2 linked regions of the Saccharomyces cerevisiae S288C genome follow. The protein of the gene in region 2 interacts with the protein of the main gene of each other region in a biochemical or structural test. Each region holds a gene or a part of one and is shown on either strand. Other genes may lie near its edges.

Evidence for each region.
Region 1: of the proteins of LFT1 (region 2) and FMP48, one has a biochemical effect on the other in vitro, tested with the Saccharomyces cerevisiae proteins (one large-scale study listed by BioGRID).

Annotation. Positions count from the first base shown.
Region 1 is NC_001139.9:591,926-595,972, forward strand, and holds FMP48 (protein kinase FMP48), read left to right. Parts: upstream 1-1,670; coding exon 1,671-2,780; downstream 2,781-4,047. Other genes in the region: YGR050C (uncharacterized protein), read right to left, coding at 161-517; MCO32 (Mco32p), read right to left, coding at 3,061-3,912.
Region 2 is NC_001145.3:202,962-207,708, forward strand, and holds LFT1 (Lft1p), read right to left. Parts: upstream 2,448-4,747; coding exon 1,425-2,447; downstream 1-1,424. Other genes in the region: YMD8 (Ymd8p), read right to left, coding at 1-1,142; CGI121 (Cgi121p), read left to right, coding at 2,681-3,136, 3,243-3,332; AMD1 (AMP deaminase), read right to left, coding at 3,467-4,747.

The DNA of each region.
Region 1 (4,047 bases), on a different chromosome or scaffold from region 2:
CGAGACTAATATATATGTTTAGCGAAAAAAAAGGCCAAAAAAACTAGTAAATATACAAAGCAGAGTATTTTTGGCTCTTGTCCACATTGGATAAGAGAATATTTATTTTTCACACAGAAAAAAAAGTTATATACGTATCTCTAAGAAAGTCAAAGACAAATTACGTAGAATGTGATTCATTCCCATTTCGCCCGTACACTCTCTGTCTCTGTCTCTGTCCCAAACTTCCCTTCCTATACGTATTCATAATCTGCTTAAACGTCAACAGTAGTTTCGGAACATCTTCATACGTAGGGAATACGACTTTTTTCTTTTCACCTGCAGCTTGAGCCAAACTAAAACTGGGATCCGGATAAACTATTAATAAAGGATCGCAAAGTCCATACGCCAGTTTAATGGGAATGAAATGATATTGCGAAGTGACGTCAAGAATCGACTTTAAGCTATATCCGAAGTCAAGAAAGCCGAACCTTACATGCGGTCGGAAAGCAAACGAGGAGATTAGATTGGTTTTCATATCCGCTAAATTTTCTTTTGATTTTACTTTGGCTTAATCTAATGCATGTATATCGGAAGAAGCAACCGATCTGGCCCAGTTGAGTCGTGCTACCTTAGTCATGCCCAGGAAAACCGGATTCCTTCTTTTCATTATGACATCCGTTTAGGTCAATAGGCTTTTTTTTCTCTCGCCCGTGCCTCTCCGTGTTCGATGAATGTGCAGCTTGCCTCCGAGCGGGCGAGCCACCTCGAGCGGGTGACGAAATAGTGGAAAAGAAACGGGGAAGCAAAACTGTGCTGTTCTGGCCCGCAGCGGACGAACGTCATTAAAGGCGCTCCATTTCTGTCGTGAGGGTCTTTCGGTGCGGTGGTGAGGCTGCGTAAACAAGCTTGCTCTTCATACCCCTCCCGTGGAGCTAGTTCGGAAGGACTATTGGCGCATCTTCTGTTGAGAGGTTCCGTAATTCTCCGTAACGTCCCGTTCACCACTTTGCATGTGCTCTCACGTACGGCCGTCTCTTTTCGGCCTTCGGCCCGTTCCGATTTTTGTACCCCTTACGTGCTTTGAATTCTAGAAGGCATCTCCTCTCCGATGGCTTGGTACAGGGAGCACTAGGGAAATTGCACATGGAAGTATCTGGAATACAAAGTTTTTGAAAAGAAAAGCCGAGCGTAATATTGGGACAATACCCAGTTCTCAGCCTTTTCAGCGCGGGTATGAGACAGCTTGCAACAGGTAAAAGGAAGTTAGAAGGGTTAGGTGAAGGGAACGATGATGCTGCCTGAGAACAAAAATGCAGCTTCATGTTACATACAATAAAGGAAGGATAATTAAGGGGACCATGCAATAAGGGACAACTTAATTTTGGAAAAATCGGAGCTTAGTTGCATCTACCTACTAATACTTTCCCCAAAGAATAATAATACGAGTACAATACATATATATATATATATATAATATACACATGTAAGTGATGACTATTCTTAATACAAAAAAATTTCCCTTTTATAATAACTATTCTTAGCATTAAATAACCCGTTACTGACAAAAAGCATATAACATAGGACTCAAGATCGACTCTCATACCCTCCGAATCAAATTCTCACTCGTATACGCAATCATTTAAATAAGCACATCATTATCAGCATATACCGAATAATAAAAAGCAAAAATGTATACAAAACTAAGATCTATACAATCAGGAACATTTAGCACAGTTTATAAAGCATGGAGTACTACACATAACCGCTACGTCGCTTTAAAGATTACTCCTAAATACAAAACTTCAGAAGCCAACATGAAGAACGAGTATGATGTAATGAAGATTTTGAGTTCTTGTAATCCTCACCCCAACATCTGTTCGATGCTCGACTTTTACACGGATGACTCGTACTACATCATGGTGCTAGAATACTGCGAATGTGGTGATCTTTATGACTTTCTAGATATTGCTAAGAGTCAAGGTAGCCCGTCGTCTCCATCTTTGATTCAAATTGATATGCAAAAGATAATCAAACAACTGTGCTCAGCAATCAGCTTTGCTCACAGCTTGGGTATTGCTCATCGTGATATCAAACCAGAAAATATTTTGCTAACGATAAATGGTGACATCAAGTTGGCAGACTGGGGTCACGCTATCCAATCCCCTAAATCTAACGACTTCCAGATTGGTACCGATAATTACAGGGCGCCAGAAACTTTCTCTGGCCGCGTTAGTAACTCTTGTTTTAAGAAGAATTTCGATCGGTCATCGGCTCCATTGTATAACACATACCAAGCTGACTATTGGTCATTGGGTGCCACCATATTTTATCTGATGTTCGGCGATTGCCTTTTTAGAGTCTCCAAATCAAAGAAGGTTCAGCATCTAAAAAATTTCGATGAGTTTGAAAAAGATCCATTTGCATTCATTTACAGGAAATACGTAGTACCAAGGCTCTCCTGTGGTTACAATGATGAAGAAGACCTACACGTTAGCCTGCAGCATACGAGGCAGTACATATGGCAAGATCTACCCGACATTTATGATGTCTTCCATTTGTGCAAGATTATGGTTGATACCTTATTAAAGGTATCGAACGCTAAAGAGAGGTCGATGGAGAATTTCATCAATGAAGTTGATTCTGCATGGAACAAAGATAGCTCGATGGACAGCTGCTTCTCGTACCAAAATAAGATTGATCTGTTTTGGGAACAGTGGTCTGTGAACACGGAAACAGTACCAGCAAAGTTCCAATTGAAAAATTTTGAGAAACCTTGCCTAATTCAAGATGGAAAATAAGAAGTAAAAAAGACCTTTTGAAAGTTTCGCCTCATTTTCCTTGATCTGACTTTTTATCCCCTGCTTATCCAATTTTAGTTAGGAACTTTGGCATAATTTCAGTATTACATACTACCTAATCGACATAAAATAATATTACATATTCATTTTTTTAAAAAATAATCATAATCAATTTATCCTTTTTATTCCTTTTTTCTCCTGTGCAAGGTTGATGGTGATGTTTATGATGGTGTGTTTATTATTTACAAATAAAGATGCTATCTAATTCTTGTATATCGTATTAACATGCAAATGCACCGCGAGTGGCAATTTTCTTCTCGTAATGGATCAGTTCAACATCTTCAATGGTATGAACCAGAATTTTCGAATTTTCTTCGTTAAATTCGAATATGAATGTTCCCTTAATCAGCCGGGATAATCTCTTTTTTTTACTTCTTTTACCGTCGCCATCATTTTTCTTCTTCTCATCTTCTTTGGAATTTTGAGTTTCGTTGACCTTATTTTCCATTGACCTTTCAGCTGCATTTTCAAGGTACTCAGAGATAACACTTTGGTTCAAATTATTGGCTGTAGGATGTAAAATGTAGTCTATGACTGGTACCGACCTCATTGAAAATGAACCGCCTGCACCATTGCCTCGTTTCTCCTCTTTCAATCTGTCATTAATTTCTAATTTGGTAATCTTGCAATGGTCTTCCGGTATGCAGCTTTGCCATTTGATCACCAATTTGTCATTACATGTTATGGTATTATAACTCTGAAGAGCAGATTTAACTTCTTCATCATGCGATGTCGATGTTAGAGTCTTTACTGAACTTATATGCAAGCGACATTCATCGCCCAAGATAAACTTTCGTACTATCATTCGCATTGCATTCAAAGAAGCCATGTATTTTGATTTTCCATGTAACACTGGAATATATGGATGCGATGTTGGAAATAGTCTAAAAACAACGTTATCCGCCAACACTGACTCCTTGAACATTTTTTGTAACAAATTGGGAACACCTTTAACCACTAAATAATCTGTTATTTGCCCCAAATTGGCCACTTTTTGAGAATTGGAGTACCATCGAGGAAAGATTCCTTTGATAGATATTATGCCGGCTCTGCAAACACACTTTAGTAACATAAGTCTTTCCCCCTATTATCTATGAATATAAACTGTCTATCTTTCCTTGGTTGTGATGTATCGTTTTCCGTAGAGGCTTGCAGCTTTATGGCTCATACCTGTCATCCCTCTTTATGGGCCTTTTAAGGGCGCTCT
Region 2 (4,747 bases):
TCTTGCTTATATCTGAAGTAATTATAATAGCATACATCTGCCATAATAATAAGCATTCCTAACCAATTGTAAAAACCACTTAATCTTTCAGAAAGAATAATTATACCAAATATTACCGTCAAAAGTTCCTTCACTATACCCACAATAGATACGGTCAGCACGGGCGTTTGCTCCAAAATACTAAACTCACAAATTGTCAACAAAAAGACTGCAAAACCAGGTAAAATTAACAAAACAATACCCCTCACAATGGATAGGACGGTAGTTTCCGTGCCGACACCGCCATTGCTCGTATCAAGCCTAAATATGCTAGAGCTGAATATACCAGGAAATGGTTTTTCCACAAGTAGCGAGGTAAGCAACAGAGTAATGCCCATTATAGGAGCTAACTGGTGGATTGTATGAATTGGGTGAGGCTTGGATTCTCCAAAATTCTCCAGCATTTTGTTATTGGCGAGGTTAACAACAGGTTCATTATCGACATTATCTTCATTTTCCGTGAAAAGGGCACCATCAGATTCCTCTACTGCTGCAGCGGTGTTAGTTTGAATTGGGTTGTTCCTAAGCATCAACTGCGTATAAACCCACCTTAACCCAGAAAGACAGCTACTTGCTAGGACAAGAAAGCTGCCAAAAATGACCAAGGCTTGGTCGTTTTTGGTACTGGTGGAATCGCTTGGTTTGAAAACCATTAATGCTACACCAACAAACATAATTATTACTGAAAGTGCCAACTTCCAATGAAACTTTTCTAGCTTGAAGATACAGCCGAATAAAAGGACAAAAGCTATGCTCGAAGATTTGATAATTGTATAAATTGTCAAGGGAACATACTGGAAGGAAACGTTACTGAGCCCGATATCACCTGCAGAAGCGACTGCCGTAGGGAGTAAAAATTTTAGAAAAAAACTCCAGTTAAAACCATTATTCTTTCTTAAAACGTTTTTCACTGGCTTATGCCTGAGCTTAATGTATATGCCGGATAGTAACCATAAAGTAGCCTGATGGAATGTTGTCACCAACACGGGATACCCAATACCCAATCCGTCCTTCGGATCGAACATCCATCTATTGTATATGGAGAGAGCTATTGAACAGAAATACCATCCAAATACAAATGCCAAAAAGACAGTCCTATTCATAGCAAAATGTGACACGAGAATTGAAGGTATAAACACTCGCTGTAACAACTTCAAGTGATCGTGGAAGTGATGAAAATGCAGTTATGAGTATAATCAGGCCAATTGACACTTTAAAAAAACAGAACAACAGCTTCTCGTGATGCCACTATCCCTTATATTTCCAGTTCTAAGCCATCTCCTTCTCATTCTCGACAAAAAAAATGGGTGTGATTATTTTGCGCTTTATTTTTTGGCGTCTCGTCGCCGATGACTCTAATAGATGTTGAAGCCTACAAGCATCTATTATATTTTCTTCTTTGGTTGTAATGGGATGAATGAATCTAGAGTTAATGAAGGAGTGCTGGCAATGCTGGGCTCGCTGGATGGATGATAACTAGATTGTGCAGGTACCTGTTCAAATCCATCACCATCATCATGTTCACTGCATCCAGTGTTAGTAACTGCGGGCTCGTGTACTTTGGGTTCAGCTTGTTGATCACTCATACTCTCTTGCTTTGATTGGATGGTATTTTTATCACTGAAAGTTGTATCATCGTCAGGTGATAGGCCAGATTTTTGGCTTACCTCATCCTGAATTTCATTTTTGGCCTCTATAGGCTTTTCGGATTTCTTTTTTGAACCTGATTTAGAACCAGAATGGCCCCAAAATCCAAAAAAACTCTTCCTTTTCGACTTATTTTTCTTTGTCTTATCACCGTCTGATTTCTTCTTTTCTTTGGGCAATTCCTTAACAACGAATTTCTGTAGCGGGTCCACTTTGAAATCGGAATTAGCCCACGTAGAAGGTTTCTTGCCATCAGCTGTATGTGCCTCATTTCTCTCAAATCTTTCTTCCACCATCCAACTTTTGCTATTGGGCTTTATACACTTATCAATCTCAGCAGAAGCTCTATCAAATAACTGACTGGTAGTAGTAATTTTGGGCTTGTTGCTTCCTCTGCTCGGAGAGCCCTGCTTGAAGGTTGTATTTATAGTTTCTTGATGAGAAGTAGGTGCTACATTATGACTCCAGGAAAATAGAACTGGCCCATCCAGCTGTAAAGCGCCAGAATTCATAGTTATGGTTTTTTCCTCATCAATCCAATCTCTTTGTATTTGCCGACATTTCCCATCAAGTTTGTCGGTACTCAATTTATTCCCCATTTGCATAGGTGAATGAAACAAACAGTTCATCAACCGCCTACCGTTCGCTACTTCATCTAATAACCCATATAACGACACATCTCCATTTTTGGCTTGCTCGGAGTCATCTTGCGGTGTGTATTCCTTACTGAACAACTGGTCGATTATTTTGTTTTCGTCCATAATTTGTCCTTCCCAAAAAATAACCAGCTTAGATTCTGACAATGCTTGTTTCTTTAATTGATGATCTGTAATATTCGTTGATCATTAATACCATTGATTTCAATATTTCATGTTTAATCTTTTGCGCGAAAATTTCAATTGCAAACCAAAATATACATCAACAATCTTTTATCGGTCAACAAATTTGTCGATATAACCAAATATACGTCGTCGCTGCCCATTATACAATCATCATGGTAGTATCCATCATACCGCAATTTCCTGATATCAAGGTTTCACTAGCATTGTTTGAACAGGTTAAAAATGCTAAAGAAATACGCTCTAAAATGAGTGAATTGTCGACATCCTTTGCCTTTATTGACCCCCGGTTAGTCTGTTCGGGGGAGCAGATGTATTCTGCAATTTACAAGACCTTAATAGAAGTGAAATATAACAAGATGAGAACAAGAAATTTGAATTCCGAGTGCGTACTATGTCTTTCACCCACTTCCAATATTAGTGATGCTTTCCTCAAATTCGGAATCAAAGACGATTCGTCACAGTTAATATGCCTTAAGTTCCATACTAATACTGACGATGTAGACAAAGAGCAATTGAGGACGATTATGACTTCTATAGTAAAAGGACAAGAGATCGAGTTTAATGATGACAATTTATCGAGATTTTATGACGAAGCGCTCATAAGAAAAGTATGTTTTAATAATAAATTCGAGGTAAAAACTTCAACAGCCTCACCAGAAACACATTGTACTAACTTCACCTTTGTTTTCCTTTTATTTTGTTTTTACCTATTAGATCTATAAATTAAGTGATGATTTCAAGCCCCAAGACGTAAATGGTCTCTCAAGAGCTTTGGTAGACGCTATTCAATTGAGGGGTGTGTAGATAAGAGATATCTAACGATAAAATTATAAAAAAAATTCTTTGATTATTTTTCAGATTAGTATTATTTGTTCTCCGTGAAGTCAGTGTATCGAACTGCCAAAAGTTCTCCTTATATACATGTGCGCGTATAACCATCACTTTTCTTCAATGGTTCTCTTGAAATTGGCAAAATGATTAACTAATTCCAGTTCAGTTGATAATGTATCGTATCTGTAGTTAATTCTAATATCAGGAACATTTGTTCTAACCACATCGTTACCTTCAACACCACTCTTGTCAAAATCTTTCCCTATCCAATGTTTTTTGATTTGTGCTTCCCACCCACTTTGCAACACGGAATTTCTTGCCAATTCACACATATCTACATTAGACAATTTATAAATTTGTGCTGCAACTGAGTATTCTTCGATTAATGGTTCTCTGGTATATGAGAATTGTAAAGGATCATCTGTGGATAGTGAGACATTCAAACCTCTTTTAAAGTATCTCGGAAATGGGTTTTTATCATAGGTCAAAAATAATGCGTTATTAGAAAGGGGTGACATTGCGATACCAACCTGATCTAAATAGTATAAGTATTGAACAAATGGAACTTTCCTCAATAAAATACCATGTGATATACCATGTGCCAATAGATATGCTGAAACGAGATGCTCGGGGTCACCGGCTTCACCACAATGTGGTCTCAAAACCAAAGTGTTAAACCCTCTCTTAGCCCTCCATTGATTCAAAGACGCGACATTTGAATACAAATAGTACAGGTAATAGGAATAAGGAGGGTTTTGAGGAGCCTCCCAGAGTGATGGCTTGGGATATTTCCTATGAAAGCGGCGATCAACCTTGGATTCATCATCGACAGAATCAAACCCAATTACTCTCTGTAAAAATACATGCAATTTTGGATGAGACTGAGGATTTTTGGTCACTTCAAATAGTGGCTGAAACAGATTCTTACAGATGTCCTGGAAGCTTTGAACAATGCCAGTTTTCTTGTAAATATCATATAACCTCGGAATTTGGACTAACCAACGAACATTATGGGAAATAACTTTGTTGTCAATCACCCAGCTAGCTAGTTTATCCCATTCATCGAGAGACCTGCCATAAACAGAAATTCTATACTCACAGTTTTGGTATTTTGAATTCTCTAAATCGAATATGACTTGTTTGGTAATGTCAGCCAAGTAGGTACCCTTGATGTAGTTGTTTGTCTTCAAAAAAATTTCTCTGAGACGAGATTCACCGATAGGGTTATATTTTAAGTTGAATTTATCGAATCTGTGGAATGTATCCTTATGTGCATGCATATCTAAAGTATCGATGGATAAATCATATCCAGTCAAATGCAAAGAACGGAATACTTCGTCTAAAGTTAGTAGTTTCCCGTCCCTGAAAATAACCTTTTCATCTTTGGA